Linked DNA regions of Neodiprion lecontei. The main gene of each other region encodes a partner of the protein of the gene in region 2 in a complex. Links are inferred from orthologs where the notes say so. Each region holds a gene or a part of one and is shown on either strand. Other genes may lie near its edges.

Region 1 (7,374 bases), on a different chromosome or scaffold from region 2:
AACCAAACCGTAATTCAAAAATAAAAAACCGTGGTAAGATGCAAGCTGAGGATGTGATGGACTGCTCACGCATTTCTAACTCTAGTATTTCATCGAGTGATTCTGAAGGTGGAATAATTACCAACGATGAAGACCGCGAAGGTGAGTTTATATTTTAAATATAACATGTGTTTAAGTTATATAGATACTGTATTCCATTAAGATACTTTGAAATACTGGGGTGCCGATCTACCACTTCATGAAACTATAGTCGATAATGTAATATTGAACGTCATAAAAGGAAAATGCTCTGTTTTTTTTTTTTCATTTTTTTATGATTAAAACGTGAGATATCCAATTCTGATGTTTCGATGGAGATAATAATTTCTTTATACAAGAAATGGAATTTTCTATGGTACGTTTATATACTACATATTATATACTATACGTTTCACAACTTATTTAGTTTTCTTCAAATTGGCGTGTTATAGAAAAGTTTAAGCAGTACGATTTCTGAGATATTCAACATTACGTAAACATAGTCCTTCACCCTTTCGAAAAATCTGTACAGTGACAAATTTTACTACGCGCCAATTTGAAGAAAACTAAATAAGTACTCAAACTCTATCATAGAAAGTTCCGTTCTTTGTATAGAAAAATTATTATCAAATAAACGTCAGAATTGGATTTCTTACGTGTTAATCAAATCAAATGGCAACTACAAAATCTCGATGTGGTACAGCTTGAAAAAATTGTTCTGCATTTTCCATTCACAAAGTTCAATATTTTGTTATGAACTATAGTATCATGAAGTGGGAGATGGAAAAAAAAAAACAAAGTTATTTCTGAAGGCATTCTATTAAACACGCATATTTTTTTTTCAAGTGATGTGTTCATTACAATTACGAAATTTTGGCTTTCAGGCGATGATGAGCAATCCGATTGGATTGGAGATTCAGGATGGTGGGACGACGGGGACAGCACAAATGAAGAAAAGGTCAGTTCAGATCCGGCTTTGCAAGTAATACTACACGGTAGCTTTGAGCATTTAACCGATGAGGCGAAAAAAAATTATCGTCAAAGAATGCAATGGATTCGAGATGGACTCAGTGGCAGAGAAATTCGAGCTGGGCGACGCCGTGTGGATAATAAGCCTGGTTATTCTATAATAACTTCGGCGAACGAAAAAGTTTCAAGGTTTCTACAGGACCCTAGCCAAAGTGAACTAAAGCTGCATCCAATGCGACAGCCTGAGCGTGAAAAACTACGAAGGCTTGCCAATTTGTACAGCTTAAGTTTGAAGGGTGATTTGAGTTGTCCAATTTTATACAAAACTCGCCATACGACCCAAGCCATTTGCGTCGATCAAGTTTCTCTGAATAGAATATCCGATTACAAAAGGCTACGAAAGACTCCACCAAATTCGCCAAATCCTGATTCGGAAATGCAGGAGAATGAGCTACCTATTTCAAGTGTGAATTTTGGTACACAAATTACAAACCAAATACAGGGTATTGGCTCTGTCGAGAGCCTGACACAAACTGTAAACTTTGGCTGGGATATACCAAGTACAGACCTGCAAATAAAACCAAAGTTTCATAGCTTTGGTCACTCCAAATCTAGCTAAATGTTATAGAGATTTTATTACGAATCTACACATATGTTCTTGCATAATGACAATTCTCTGAAAACGCCGATTTTTACAGTCATAAACCAGTTTTTGTAAGTATAATTCAAACTTAAATCAAGCTCCATCGCACCTTGATAGCATGGTTGAATATAATCAAAGGCGAAAATCAATGACATTGCGAAAAGAAATGTAGCCGATTTTATTTTTCCGTCCCCTTCTTGTGAATTCATTAAACTTCGCTATTATCTGCTGACGTTCTGTGCAGTTTTTTCCGGAATTTCGTAATTTTTCTCATTCTATCAGAAAATTCCGTTCGCTTCACCGGTATTTAGTTGTATAAAAAGAGAAACTTACAATCCTGTCTTGTGTTTGAATTATATTTTAAAACATTTGTAAGAATGCCTGTAAAGAACAGTTACATAAAGAAATATTATTTACAAGCATTTGATATACTAAGGTTTACCAGAACAACAGTTACATGTCTCATGAACTATACTTCTGTACATTTTTGTGCCTAAACCAGATCTTGATGAAACATGCCCAAGAATTCCTCGAAGATGTATATCAGTTTTTTTTGAGGTGTAAGTAGATCTCCGGTCATTTATTTTTGGAATATCACTTGAAATAATGATTATAATAATTTATAACTATAGTGTTAAGTTGTTACCTACAGTACAGTCTGGAATACTGTATATGTTAATTATTATCATCTTCTATTAGGGTTTTTGAAAACTCGTTCATGAAAGATGGGCCAATGGTGGAAGTTATGTTTAAAAACATAATATAACAATAAATACACTACTACTTCTATAAAATTCATGCGTTAGTTTATTCATATAGTAAGACGTTTTTGATATACTAATAGCATATAACATAGAACGAGGAGCACTTGTTGATAAAATTCTAAATGACCAAAAATAAATGTAGTATTATTAGCGTAATTGACCTAATTTTTTAGCTGCTGCCATTGCATTTTCATTGGCTATCATCTGAAATTCTTGAAAGCGTTGGGAGACCCTCTGATTCATCTTCATATATTTCTCCATACAATTCAGCGCACATTTCTCCTCTTTGGTTCTCACTTCTCGTGTTGTAAAATCGGTTATACAGTCAATGAAGCAGATTTCCGATAGCTTATTGTATGATGTCAAGAAGTCTCTAAACTGAAAAGTTATAAAATTATTCCAATAATAAATATGTTTTATTAAATATTTTACTATGTCAAATTTAAACGATTAATTATATCGTTACACTTCGAATTTTTACCAGACTGTAGGACAAGACGAAAGTACGTTTAAATTACTTTTGCTGAAAGTTGTAATAGATCAACATTCGTAATTTTACTTCAACGGTACAAGATATTGGTAACTCTATTATACATAATCTAGATTGGCCTTCATATGAACAAGTGTTACATAGAATGACAACTTTCTTGAACTCAATTTGGGAATACGTTCGAATATTTGGGTTACGTTAGAGTTGTTAAGGAATTATTAGTCCTTTAAAACAAGCTAGTGAATTCAAAACTTAGCAACGTGGACAAACGATAACCTAAAAATATTATGACTGCAGATGATGTCTACCGTAATAACAAATCAAAGCGTAATATAACAGATATAAGACTTGACATGGAATTCGGTTCCCATAGAGGATTTTCTTATACTTTTTGATATTCAAATTTGAGACCCTTGAGAAGTTCAGAATTGAAGTGGTCCTCACTCAGTCGCATGTATTTTGACACATAAAACGAATACTTGCCGACTTGATTTGCTCCGCATCAACTTCAGTCGGCATTTCCATTTTTAGTATTCAAGTTTTGATTGACTAGAATGTTAAGTAAGGATTCGCAAATCCAACAAGATATTTCATTAGTAGTACGTCCCAATAAAACTGTGGCAATGTTATACGTGGAAGTTGCGAATTTTACTGGTCAATAAGAAACTCCGAATTTATCTAGTCAATCTTTGGGTTTAGAATATTTCTACAGCTGATGTAAAGAGTTGGCAAATACAAATTATGTGTAAAATCGGTATTCTTGCACGTTAGGATCAGAGATGGTTCAATTTACTGCATTTCCATGTCTGAAGTTAGTTAAAAGTACTCCCCTCCAAATGTTTATTCGTATGGTATGAATCGTGGTTTGGACTGCCCCCACCCCTTATAGCATAAAAATAAATCGACTTCAGTTAGGCACTAGTTCCGGGAGTTTGTCCAATCCCGGCGGATTTAACTTACGGCAGCTCCTCATTAACTGTAAATTGCATTGAAATTCAATGTCCCGAATAGAAAACCTCTTGTTGGTAGTTTTCGGTTGTTTATCATAGCAGACTATTCGAGAATTTCAGAATTCCATGACATTTCCAGGTGTTCCAGAATTGCCTGACGAGTAGTCACACTGGCTAAGTATATGGAGCGCACGGTAACATTAGTTATTGTTGTTCTTGTTGTCTTTCCTATGAATAGTACCGTTTACTGACTTGAGTTGCGCGACGCAGAATATAGAGATCAGGTGATACAACTTCAGTCAACGTATCAGTGGTTATGCCGGTTATACCATAGAAATTAGTGATGATGCTACCTCCGCGGGAATAAGCCTTATGTAGAGTGGTGCAGCCAGTGTAGCCATGCTATAGATCGTAAAACATGTACAGCAGCGAACATAACACGGTGGTAAAAATTAGAACTATTCTAGACGACACTTTTTGGAGTTCAGCTTACGCCACAAATGCATTAGAGTTCGGTCTGCTTCCCTCCAGTCTTCCTGGACGGGACTATCAAATTAAACATGGCGCCTGCTAGGTTATTGTCGTGAGTGATAATTTATTTTCTGGTGTTAATGTGAAAATTTCACAGGTTTTCCGGGCCGATGCGGAGCGCGGCGCGTACGGGAAGGCGTCCCGGCCTCGTTCGCCCCGGTTTAAACGTAACTCTGTAATCAGAACGCCAATAAAACATATAAATTGAATTGCATAAACAGTGGGTTGTGGGTATACACACCCTGACGCGAGATCCCTCGAGTATATCCTCAGCTTTATGGGTTTCTCCTATATTTGTGACGTAGTTAGTAGTTTCTTATTGACTGTTGTTCACCCTCGCAAACAAATACTCTGGCTGATTGGTGATAATTGTATATTAAAACCCGAAAATGTCGAGGTTTTGTACAGTGTTTTCTTCAGTGGGATAAGAGCCACCATCGGCTGCTTGAAGATCACTTTGGTAAATATATGGATTTTGTTTCTCTGCCACTTTATTTCACAGGCTAATCTATAAACTTTCATATCTGTCACGTGATGACATTAACGGATGATAAGTTTTTTTTTTCGTTTATTTTATTTATTTTTTAATGCATCTCAAATATGGCAGTGAATGAACCTCGACATTAAAACAAGTCAATTAGTATGCACATCATCACACTAACCTGTATCATGCATTATTTTACAGTAATCTAATTAATTAGATTTTATGCGAAATTTTATTCACCAATTTCGACATATTTATTAACCTGAGAAATATACAGTCAATTATCAATTCAATTATATCCATGCTAGTAGTTAAAGAATATTTCATTTCATCTTTGACTATGTTTACAGAAAATCAATAAAAAAAAAAAATCAATAATACTGAATTTCCACTTCCAAACATCTTCGAACTCTAATCAAATTTATAAATAGGCCTGATTTGGCCTTTATTATCAATAGATTTAACAGGTTATTGCGTCAATATGCCTGCTGTTATTTTTTTTTTTGTTAATTTCTATTGAATAAATTATAAAAGTATTGGCTCCATTTCTATATTCGAAAAATATTAACTAAGTAATATGAAATAAGACTTTTGACTTTAATTATATTCATTTTGGTGAGATGCCGTAAAGAAATGAAACCAACATCCAATTTTTGAATACTATGATTTGTAGCAAAAACCATATGTACCCGATATCTATCTCTCTTGAGGTTTGTGAACATGGTTGTAATGTTTTTTGTTTTTTTCTATTCTCAAGTTTTAGCTCTTTTAAGTAAATCTGATTGCATTTTGCAAAACTAGCTATGTTAACGCTCTCTGCTGCTCATCAGCTCTTTTCTAAATTTTAATTCAACATTGCATACTCCTACATTCCTTAAAAGCAAGGAAATGCACCATTCATAATTCATACTTACATGAACCTGCTTTTAAATATGAATCTTTGGTTTTGATAATTTTTCAAAATTGTTAATTTACTAGTGATAAACCAGTTAGAGAAATGACACATCAGCTGCAGATGTTGTTCAGTGGCTGAAATTTTTCTTTCCTTGTAAGCTGCCTACAGCCTAAAGATTGTACTCGTGAGCTATCATTAATTCTTAAATGGCTTAAAAATTTCGTTTAAAAAATTATTCTTGTCTATTAGCAAATAATGAAATGTAAGAATGGAAACCAGCTGTATCAACAACAGCTGAAAACTATGTAGAGATCAATTTTGTTAAAAAGGATAACAGCGGAAAGGCTTGGGCCTTATGCCGCCTGCCGGGCTATCGGCACGAGGTTTGTCTACTTTGATGGACCACGGACATCCGGACGCTCGTCATCAGAGCGAGCGATTTTTACATTATCCGGAGAATGGCTCCACACGCTATCAGACTCAAAGCAATACCAATTCACCCAGATATCAGCCGAGCAACAGAGGCACCCACCATTGGACGAGGTAATCAGATACGCTACGGTTGCATAAATGGGAGTGAAATAAGCTTAATAACCATTTTTTGAAACTATAAAAAGATTACGTTGATAAAGTAAAAATTTAAAATCCTTGTTCTTTCACAAATATCTGAACCTAAGCTTATATTTTCTTCACTTAGCTACTTTATTTTTACCTTGTTGCACCATTGATTTGTGTTGGTATTAAACGACACAGTTTCCATTATTACATGAAAATGATAATAATAGTTATTATCAATATAAAATTTGTTAAGTAAGAAAAAAATTGTTATGGACTAGCCACGGATATTCAGAGGCACGTGCTTCGAACAATAACATGTCGGACAGCAGCGTTTCTGACACACATAGTGGTGGCACGGCTAAAACCGTATCCCAACAAACCAGCCCATCTCATGGAACGTATTCCTCGTCACAATCGCAAAATGACAATAGCTCCATTATTTTCACCGCTCTATTTGATTACGTTGCTCAGGGTGAAGATGAGCTAACGCTTCAAAGAGGTGAAACTGTTGAGGTAATTCAATTAGATATCAATATTTCTTTTCAAATGTGTGTGCATATATATATTCTTGCCTAACATAAAATATCAAGAAACTCTTAAGTATATACTTGTTGTATCAATATATTTATTTTACATTATTAAAAAGTAAGTTCCAAGTTTAAGTAAAACATCAGATGTATTATTTGTATTCTACTAGGTTCTGTCGAAAGATTCAAAAATTTCCGGCGATGAAGGATGGTGGACGGGTAAAATTCATGGAAAGGTGGGAATATTTCCTGCCAATTTTGTTGCTAAAGCTGATAGTATCGACAAGGTCTCTTCAGTTATTGACAAAGTTCAACCAGTAGAAATCGATTTTGATGAATTACAATTAGAGGAGGTCATCGGTGTTGGAGGTTTTGGAAAAGTCTATAGGTGAGTGTGGGGCAACTTCATCTAATATATGATTTGTAACGAGGAACTTATTTCACTGTTGAATAATTTCTTTAGCAAATCTTATTATCAGATCCAGGAATTGTACCTGGATCTATAACTGTTTGATTGGTTTCTTACTACCATGATTATGCTAGAT
Region 2 (8,027 bases):
TAGATTGACAGTAGTGGACACTCCTGGATACGGAGATGCTATCGACAATACTGACAGTTTCAGAGCCATTATTCAGTATATTGATGACCAATTTGAAAGATTTCTTAGAGACGAAAGTGGCCTTAATCGTAGAAATATTGTGGATAACAGAATCCATTGCTGTTTCTACTTTATATCTCCGTTTGGTCACGGGTAAGCATTAACCAACGTTTGTACTGTGGAATATGAACATGACTCATGTTTAAGGAAAGGCTTTTGGAAATAAATACCTGCTTGAGAATTATGTAGCATGGAATTGTTCGTTCACTTGCAGAATAAGTTTTTCACAATATAATTACAACATTACAATCTCTGCCCTTCCCCATTTGTAGAAGTTAACTTATTCTAATCCTTTTTAGAAAATCAAATTCACTAACATAGTGTGTCTTCAGGTTAAAGCCTTTGGATATTGAATTTATGAAACAACTGCACAACAAGGTCAATATTGTACCAGTAATAGCAAAGGCGGATGTGCTGACGAAAAAGGAAGTTCTTCGTTTGAAGAAACGTGTTATGGAGGAGATCGAAGGCAATGGTATCAAAATATACCCACTTCCAGACTGTGATAGCGATGAAGATGAAGATTACAAGGAACAAGTGAGACAGTTGAAGGAAGCAGTACCATTCGCAGTTTGTGGTGCAAATACGCTCTTAGAAGTCAAAGGGAGAAAAGTTAGGGGACGATTGTATCCGTGGGGTGTTGTGGAAGTAGAAAATCCTGACCATTGTGACTTCATAAAATTGAGGACAATGCTTATGTAAGTCTTGAGCATAATTAATATCATGTTCCATTAAACTTTAGAGAACGAGGATTTGGGATTCTTGGTGTCCTTCAGAAAATGCATAACAAAGGTATCTAATATGTTAAAACTATCATAGGTAAAGTGTCGATCATGCGTCACCCCTGTATACGGGTGTTCTCGTCCTCTAAAGGTTAATATTTGCACAATTCATTCTATCGTGCTATTCAAGGCTAGTGTAACTACTTGTGTTGCATCAAGTTTATAATTATTCTTTTGTACATTTCATGAAACTTGAGCTGAAAAATTCATATTCCCATTTCTATTGATTGTTATAATGCTTATATCTCTACATTTTACAGAACACACATGCAAGATCTCCAAGAAGTTACGCAAGAGGTTCATTATGAAAATTATCGTTCTGAAAGATTAGCTAAAGGAGCTCCTGCGCCACCGAGACGTCAAACGTATGTCACCCAATGGTTTGACCCTGAGAAGTCTATGAATTTCATGATCAATATATTTATACACTAGTGGTTTATAATTTTTTTTTGCTTGAATTATTTTATAATTGGCCGAATTATTTTCAACTCACAGGATTATAGAGTCAGAAAAGACGAATACTGTGAGCGAAAAAGACCGTATTTTACAAGAAAAGGAAGCGGAATTACGACGCATGCAGGAAATGGTGGCTCAAATGCAGGCCCAAATGCAACAACAACAACCTTAGAATTGAAGAATATTTAAATACATCTTGAGGATAAAATCTCCATCTTGCCAGGTGCCAAAAGTCGAAAGAAACTACAGTACTGTCTTAAATTTTGATTCGTAAAAAGGAGTGGTCCAATAATTGGTATTAATTTTGGAATTTGCCATTCCGAAATTCCAAATCAGAATCGATTTTATTTTACCACCAATTCATAGGACGTAGTACAATTTTTTTACTTCTCATCATAGTTTATAATTTTTTAATTGTGAATGTTTATGTGCTGTGGGACGTGCATATTGAGTGATAGAAGCTAAACCAAAAAAACAAAATAACCAAGACACAAAAACATTTGTTACTTACATATCTGTGTGCATTGTAAAGAGAAATATGAAGAGTGCCTTGCAGTATTTTTTTTTTAAACGAAATGTGTATCATTTTAGCCAACTTGTTCTGCACAACCCGCACTTTTACATAATTATTTAGTGAAAATTAATTTCAAAAAAAACTTTTCGAGGTAGAATAAATATGACAATATCAAGCCATTCCTGACAAGAAGATTAGTGAATTTCTTATACTAAAGGTATAAAGATACCCATTAGTTTTTGCTTGCAATGTTAATAACAATATCACATATCCGCGCGATATTTATGTTTTCTATGTTGAAATACGTTCCATATTGTATGTGCGATATGAAGTTAAAAAAATCTCATAATTCGTACAAAATTTCCTCATATCAAAGTTATGATTAAATATACTGCCAGTTTTAGGTATTGCAAATTCCTGAATGTTAACAAGCAATTAGAATCGTATTAGGTAATGGCGAATTTCGAATATGAGAGAAGAGTATATATTTTCTATAAATAAAATAGGTTTAATTGTTCGTTGTGACAACGCATTTACTCTGTACTGATCTACATATAATACTTTTTTCATCTGTATTTAAGTGGAATTTTTCGGCTTTATACAATTGTATTTTCTAAGTGAAAGCCTTTTATTATTCCTCACCTTTATTAGGAGGCATATTACCCTAATATCATTTTTATTGGCATTGAGAAAGTGAAGTTTGATCAAGGAATTGTCAACTATTTTGAAAATCTTTAAGTAGGTAGATACCGTAAGTGTGTAAGAAATTTTAATGCAAGAAAAATGTATATGAACTATTTTATTATAGATTAACAGATATTTACAACTCCTTCGTCAAGCCAAGTGATTTTAATCTAATAATTAAGTCTTATCCTGTGTAAAATTTTGATCTTCTCTATATTTTAATTTGAAAAAAATATATATTATTGACATAAAAATTACTTATTCAGCTTTTATTACACTATTCTTGCATATTATTTACAGTTAACAAGTATTATACAATAAATAATTTAATTTTGTCTAAAAAATTCAAGATTTATGCATATAGTAATCTATCGCTGTTGAAAATGCTGCAAAACCCGCAGCACCAACAAGACCCGCTTTCAGTCCAGCTAAAAATATTAGGTAAAATAATAAATCACGAAGTTTTAACTGTTTTAAGTTTGACAATGACATTGTAATTTTATAATACGTGTATTATAAGTTTCGCTAATTTTGTACAAATGTATGACAGATTTGTTCTGCATTTTGAGAGATTTTATTTGAAAATAATGTGTAAAGAAGTAGTTTTTCAAGTATATGTTTAATTTCGAATAGGTATAAGAGAATCTTTAAACCAACTTGGGTTTGAGCGATTGGATTTTAAAACGTGAAATTTTATTGTAGTGTAACAACAGGTTTGAGGCATCACAATCTTAGAAAAATCAAAAAAAATCTGAGTATATGCAATGATCAAGGGTGTAAATCAGTCTAACTTACCTCTAAGACCGATAAGTCCACCTGTCACACCACCAGCATAACTGCCGTTTCGCCAGTCAGACTTTCCCCTGTACTAAAAAGTAAGGGTCATTATACCATTCCAACCAGATTCATATATGATCTTTCAAGTAGAAATAGGGAGTACAATAACATTCCGAAAAGTAATCAAATTACCAACTGGAGAATAAGTCAAATTATTGTTAGTGCTATAACGTAAATCTTACTGTTTCTATGGTACATTCAACGGCTGAGAATACACATCCTACAACAGCAAAGTTTTTGGCATATCCAAGTGTCGTCATCTTCATTTCTTTGAATATTTCACGTGCTGTTTGCTGTTTTTCTACGCTAGCAACGTTTGGATTTACACTGGAAGAAAATAGACCGATAGCTGCACCAAGACCGTAGCCTATCGACATAATTCATCATGAGTCAGTGATGTGTATTCTTGAGATTAGGAAAACTTCATGTGCGTGACCACTTATAGATCAGGATCAAGATATGCACTTTATTTTTCAATCCTAAGTAATCTTCCATTTTACCTACAGGTGACGGGATTAGCGCAACCATTGCTAACGAAAAACTACATACCCATAACGCAACTCATGAAGCTTTTGAAGATGCAGCTCTCCATGACAGACTCCATGAGTTTCTCGTCGTTCGTTTTTATCCTGACGGGACCCATCACTCTAGGTATAATGATATTCTCTCTGAAACGTTGTTGAGTGCCGACCAAATGAACGGCTATTTTATCCATGTCAGGATCATTCATAAATACTCTCTTATCTCCTTCGGGAGTCGGTGGCGGCTTGGGTGGGTTGAAGGAAAACATCTCTTTGCGATTATTGCGCACTGGGATATGCGAAATTTAACACTCTTCTTTTAGAAATTAGTCAAACTACGTGAGGCACATTACAATTCGGAAATACATATTTTGGAGGTTAGGGCTTGGTTTGGTCGTTGACTGAAGAATATAAAGACAGTTGCCCTAATGGGCTTTGAGGGCTTTGGTATGACAACCGAAAATCGTCATGCGCTTGCGCCCCCTGAGACGTTCCTACGGTAGAGTTGAGAACTTGCTGCAGAACATCAGAGAGTTACCGATTTCGACATGATGCTGGCTGCATTCACCTTCAGAGTATCACAGTCTTCGCAATGGTACGCCCAAGCCAGTACGTAGCCTGTGTGTACTTACTGATTGGTTGGCAATACGAGGAATTAATGATCAGTGCAAATTTCTTTCAAAATTTGTAGCAAAACAGTGATTTAATTAAAGTATAGGTACCCGAGAGGAGAATGTATACATAGATCATAAATAGTAATAGGTCAGATGTAATAATAATGCAGAGACCAAAAAGTATGTATGTATATACGGTCCACGTGCGATATTGATATATGTGATCCATTTACGATTATTACGCGGTGCATACTATGAATTTTATAATTTTCCAGGAGACAAATTAGATTATCTACAATGATACGACTGTAATATGTGAATAAAAGACTTATTCATTTCGAAATGAGATTCCATTCGACACGCGCTCGGTGTATTCCATAACATTGTTATTCATAATTCGAACTACTTTTCATTTGGTGTATCAATATTGAGCTTTCGTAGGCATAGAATCGAAACACTGTTTTAGCTAGTCGCAAGTGAAGTATCTACGTTGGCTAGAAAAGCAGAATTGTTTTCGAAAAGTGTTCGTACGGAGAAGAATTCAGAATAACTGTAATGCATCTCGGATGCGCTGATTTTGATGATGAAATGAATCCTCCGTATATAAGACAGTATTTAATACAGTGTCCTAATTTGAATACCTAAAACGGTGATTCTCAGCGATTTTTGTTGTTGATAGAAAGAGATGGAACGGAGCTTGGTCAAGTTTCGAGTGTATTTGAACACACATTTGAAAGGCACGAGCAAAAGATTCTATCATCCAACTGTTACAGAACGGCGGCGTTATTAGCTGACCCGTTAATTGAAGAATATATCTTTGGTCGAAGGCTGACCATCAAAGAGCCTAGCCGCTTGAGTCTAAAATCAGCAGAAGAAATGAAGTGCGTATTGCTTGTCTAAAATGTGTAAACTGAAATCATTATAGATCATCTCATATCATCATACATCAAACACCATACATCATACATCGTACATCATGAACCATACGTTATACAACATACATCATACACAGTACTGAAGTTCGAAACCAAAGTATGCATGTTGGGATGATCAGAAAGTGACGTCACCCAAAATTTTTTTTTCTCGACGTCATCGATCGAAAATCAGCTAGCCGAATTCCTCAGTCTGGAAACAACCGCGCGGTAGAGCGGACGTATGAGAATTGCGCTCAGCAGATTTCGAGTACCGGGTTCTCTGTCTCCTGGATCCTGCGCTCCGGGTCGGCTACCTGGTCAAACTCGACTTCCAAGACAAGCGCTCGGTGGTTTCTGCGCTCCAGGTCCGTTTCCTGGTGCCACTCGAGTTCCAGGACAAGCGCTCCGCGGTGCCTGCGCTCATGTCCGCTACCTGTTGAAATTCGACTTCAGGGACTAGCGCTCGTAGTTTGTGCGTTCCAGGTCGGCTACCTGGTACAACTTGACTTCAGGGACAAGCGCTACGTAGTTTTTGCGCGCCAGGTCCGCTACCTGGTAGAACTCGACTTCCAGGACGAGCGCTCCGTAGTTTCTGCGCTCGAGGTGTACCACCTGATGAAACTCGAGTTCCAGGACAAGAGTTCTGTAGTTTCTGCACTCCGGGTGTCCTACCTCGTGAAACTCGACTTCCAAGACAAGCGATCCGTAGTTTCTACTATCCAGGTTCATTTCCTGGTGCAACTTGAGTTCCAGGACAAGCGCTCCGTGGTTCCTGCGCTCCAGGTCTGTGACCTGGTGAAACTCGGCTTCAGGGATAAACGCTCCGTAGTTTCTACGCTCCAAGTACGCTACCTGGTGAAGCTCGAGATCCAGGACAAGCGATACGTGGTTTCTGCGCTCCAGGTCGGCTATCTGGTAAGACTCGACTTCAGGGAAAAGCGCTGTGTAGTTTTTGCGCGCCAGGTCCACTACCTGGTAGAATTTGACTTCCAGGACAAGCGCTCCGTCGTTTCTGCGCTCGAGGTCCGCTACCTGATGAAACTCGACTTCAGGGAAAAGCGCTACGTAGGTTTTCCACTACAAGTCCGCTGCCCGCTGAATCTCGACTCTCGGGGGATGAGGTGGACGAGAAGGTCAAGGATTTCTGCACGGTGAGTATAACATTTTTATAATATTTAACGGCCCTTGTAATTATATTTTATCTAAATTTGTTTAAGCTTGTCATTTTTACAATAAATTATTTCAATTCATTTTTCGTGCAAGCACAAATTCAGTAGCTATGAATAATCTTATACAATTTATTACATTACAAATTAATTAATTAATATTCTTATAATATTTGATGGCAATTGTAATTATATTTCATCTGAAATATTACAAACTTGTCACGTTTACAATGAATTATTTCAATTCATTTTTCGTGCAAGCACAAATTCAGTAGCTATAAGTGCGCTACTAAAATTTATTACATAATTGATTAATTGAATAATTATAATAATACTTGCACATATTTTTGATGAGTTCTTGTACTGAAAAGACTGATTACTATTCCAGGTATAACCCGAGGTGGTCATCGGTGGTTGTTGGAGGTGGTTGGCTGTGGCTGGAGGTGGACGAGAAGGAGGACCAGGAAGACAAGGAGAACAAGATGGTCGAGGACGATGAGGATTCGTGCACTGTGAGAATATCATTCTAAAGTATTGAATAGAGTAGGAGTAGGAGTAGGAGTAGGATCAAGAGTAGGAGTAGGAGTAGAATCAGAAGTAGGAGTGTTACGAGTTGGAGTTGCCAACCCAACCCAACCCAATCCAATTGGTCCGCTTACCCTACCCTACCCTACCCTTCCCACCCCTACCCTCCTCCCATACTTCTACTCCTACTTCTGCTCCTACTTCTACTTCAATCTTACTCCTACTTCTACTACGATCTTACTCCAACTCCTGATCCTACTCCTATTCTTACTCTCACTCTTGAACCTACTCCTGATCCTACTTCTATTCCTACTCCTAATTCTGAATATGAATGTTATGGGATATATAGACTGCGTGTCGAATTGTATCCCATATCGAAACGAACAATTCTTTTATTGTCATATTATACCCGATTATAGTAGATAATCTAGTATGTTTACTAGCAAATTATAAAATTTATAGTTTGCATCACGTGATAATCATAAATTAATCAGGTATATCAATGTCGTACATGGACCGCATATACATTTACACTTTTTGGTCTCTGCATCATTATTACATATGATTTATTTTTATTAATGATCTATGTATACATTCTTCTCTCGGGTACCTATACTTTAATTGAATCACTGTTTTGCTACGAATTTTGAATGATATTAGTTCTCATTATTAATTTCTTGTATCGCCGACAAGTCGGTAGGTACACTCAGGCCAAGTACTGGCTTGGGCCTACCATTGCGAAGACTGTGTTACTCAGAAGGTGAATGCAACCAGCATTTTGTCGAAATCGGAAACTCTGTGATGTTCTACGATGAGTTATCAACTCTACCATTGGGTTATCTCACGAAGCAATTTACGGATGTCACATCTGAGCCCATGAGGGCAACTGTCTTTATATTCTTCATCCGATAGTGA

Evidence for each region.
Region 1: the proteins of mitochondrial import inner membrane translocase subunit Tim22 (region 2) and mitochondrial import inner membrane translocase subunit Tim9 are in contact, whole or in part, in a cryo-EM structure (PDB 7CGP), measured with the Homo sapiens proteins. The link is inferred for Neodiprion lecontei from reciprocal best matches to the Homo sapiens genes TIMM22 and TIMM9. Residues at the interface, in NP_037469.2 of Homo sapiens: Asp35, Arg37, Gln38, Pro39, Arg40, Leu42, Gly45, Ser46, Leu47, Gly49, Ile50, Ser52, Pro53, Lys60; in NP_001291414.1 of Homo sapiens: Gln13, Glu16, Phe17, Thr20, Leu57, Thr60, Gln61, Met65, Phe67, His71, Gln74, Asn75, Leu78, Lys81.

What each region holds. Positions count from the first base shown.
Region 1 is NC_060265.1:19,685,161-19,692,534, forward strand, and holds mitochondrial import inner membrane translocase subunit Tim9, read right to left. Parts: upstream 3,754-7,374; 5' UTR 3,410-3,753; coding exon 3,368-3,409; intron 2,773-3,367; coding exon 2,542-2,772; 3' UTR 1,607-2,541; downstream 1-1,606. Other genes in the region: G patch domain-containing protein 2, read left to right, coding at 1-141, 903-1,606; mitogen-activated protein kinase kinase kinase 11, read left to right, coding at 6,100-6,287, 6,581-6,815, 7,000-7,217. UniProt on the Homo sapiens protein: Mitochondrial intermembrane chaperone that participates in the import and insertion of multi-pass transmembrane proteins into the mitochondrial inner membrane.
Region 2 is NC_060262.1:34,055,230-34,063,256, forward strand, and holds mitochondrial import inner membrane translocase subunit Tim22, read right to left. Parts: upstream 4,428-8,027; 5' UTR 4,265-4,427; coding exon 4,264-4,264; exon of another isoform or gene 4,183-4,263; coding exon 3,922-4,182; intron 3,740-3,921; coding exon 3,555-3,739; intron 3,404-3,554; coding exon 3,331-3,403; intron 2,964-3,330; coding exon 2,881-2,963; 3' UTR 1,759-2,880; downstream 1-1,758. Other genes in the region: septin-1, read left to right, coding at 1-192, 432-797, 1,142-1,246, 1,377-1,509; uncharacterized protein LOC124293463, read left to right, coding at 6,037-6,204, 6,385-6,572, 6,976-7,099. UniProt on the Homo sapiens protein: Essential core component of the TIM22 complex, a complex that mediates the import and insertion of multi-pass transmembrane proteins into the mitochondrial inner membrane. In the TIM22 complex, it constitutes the voltage-activated and signal-gated channel.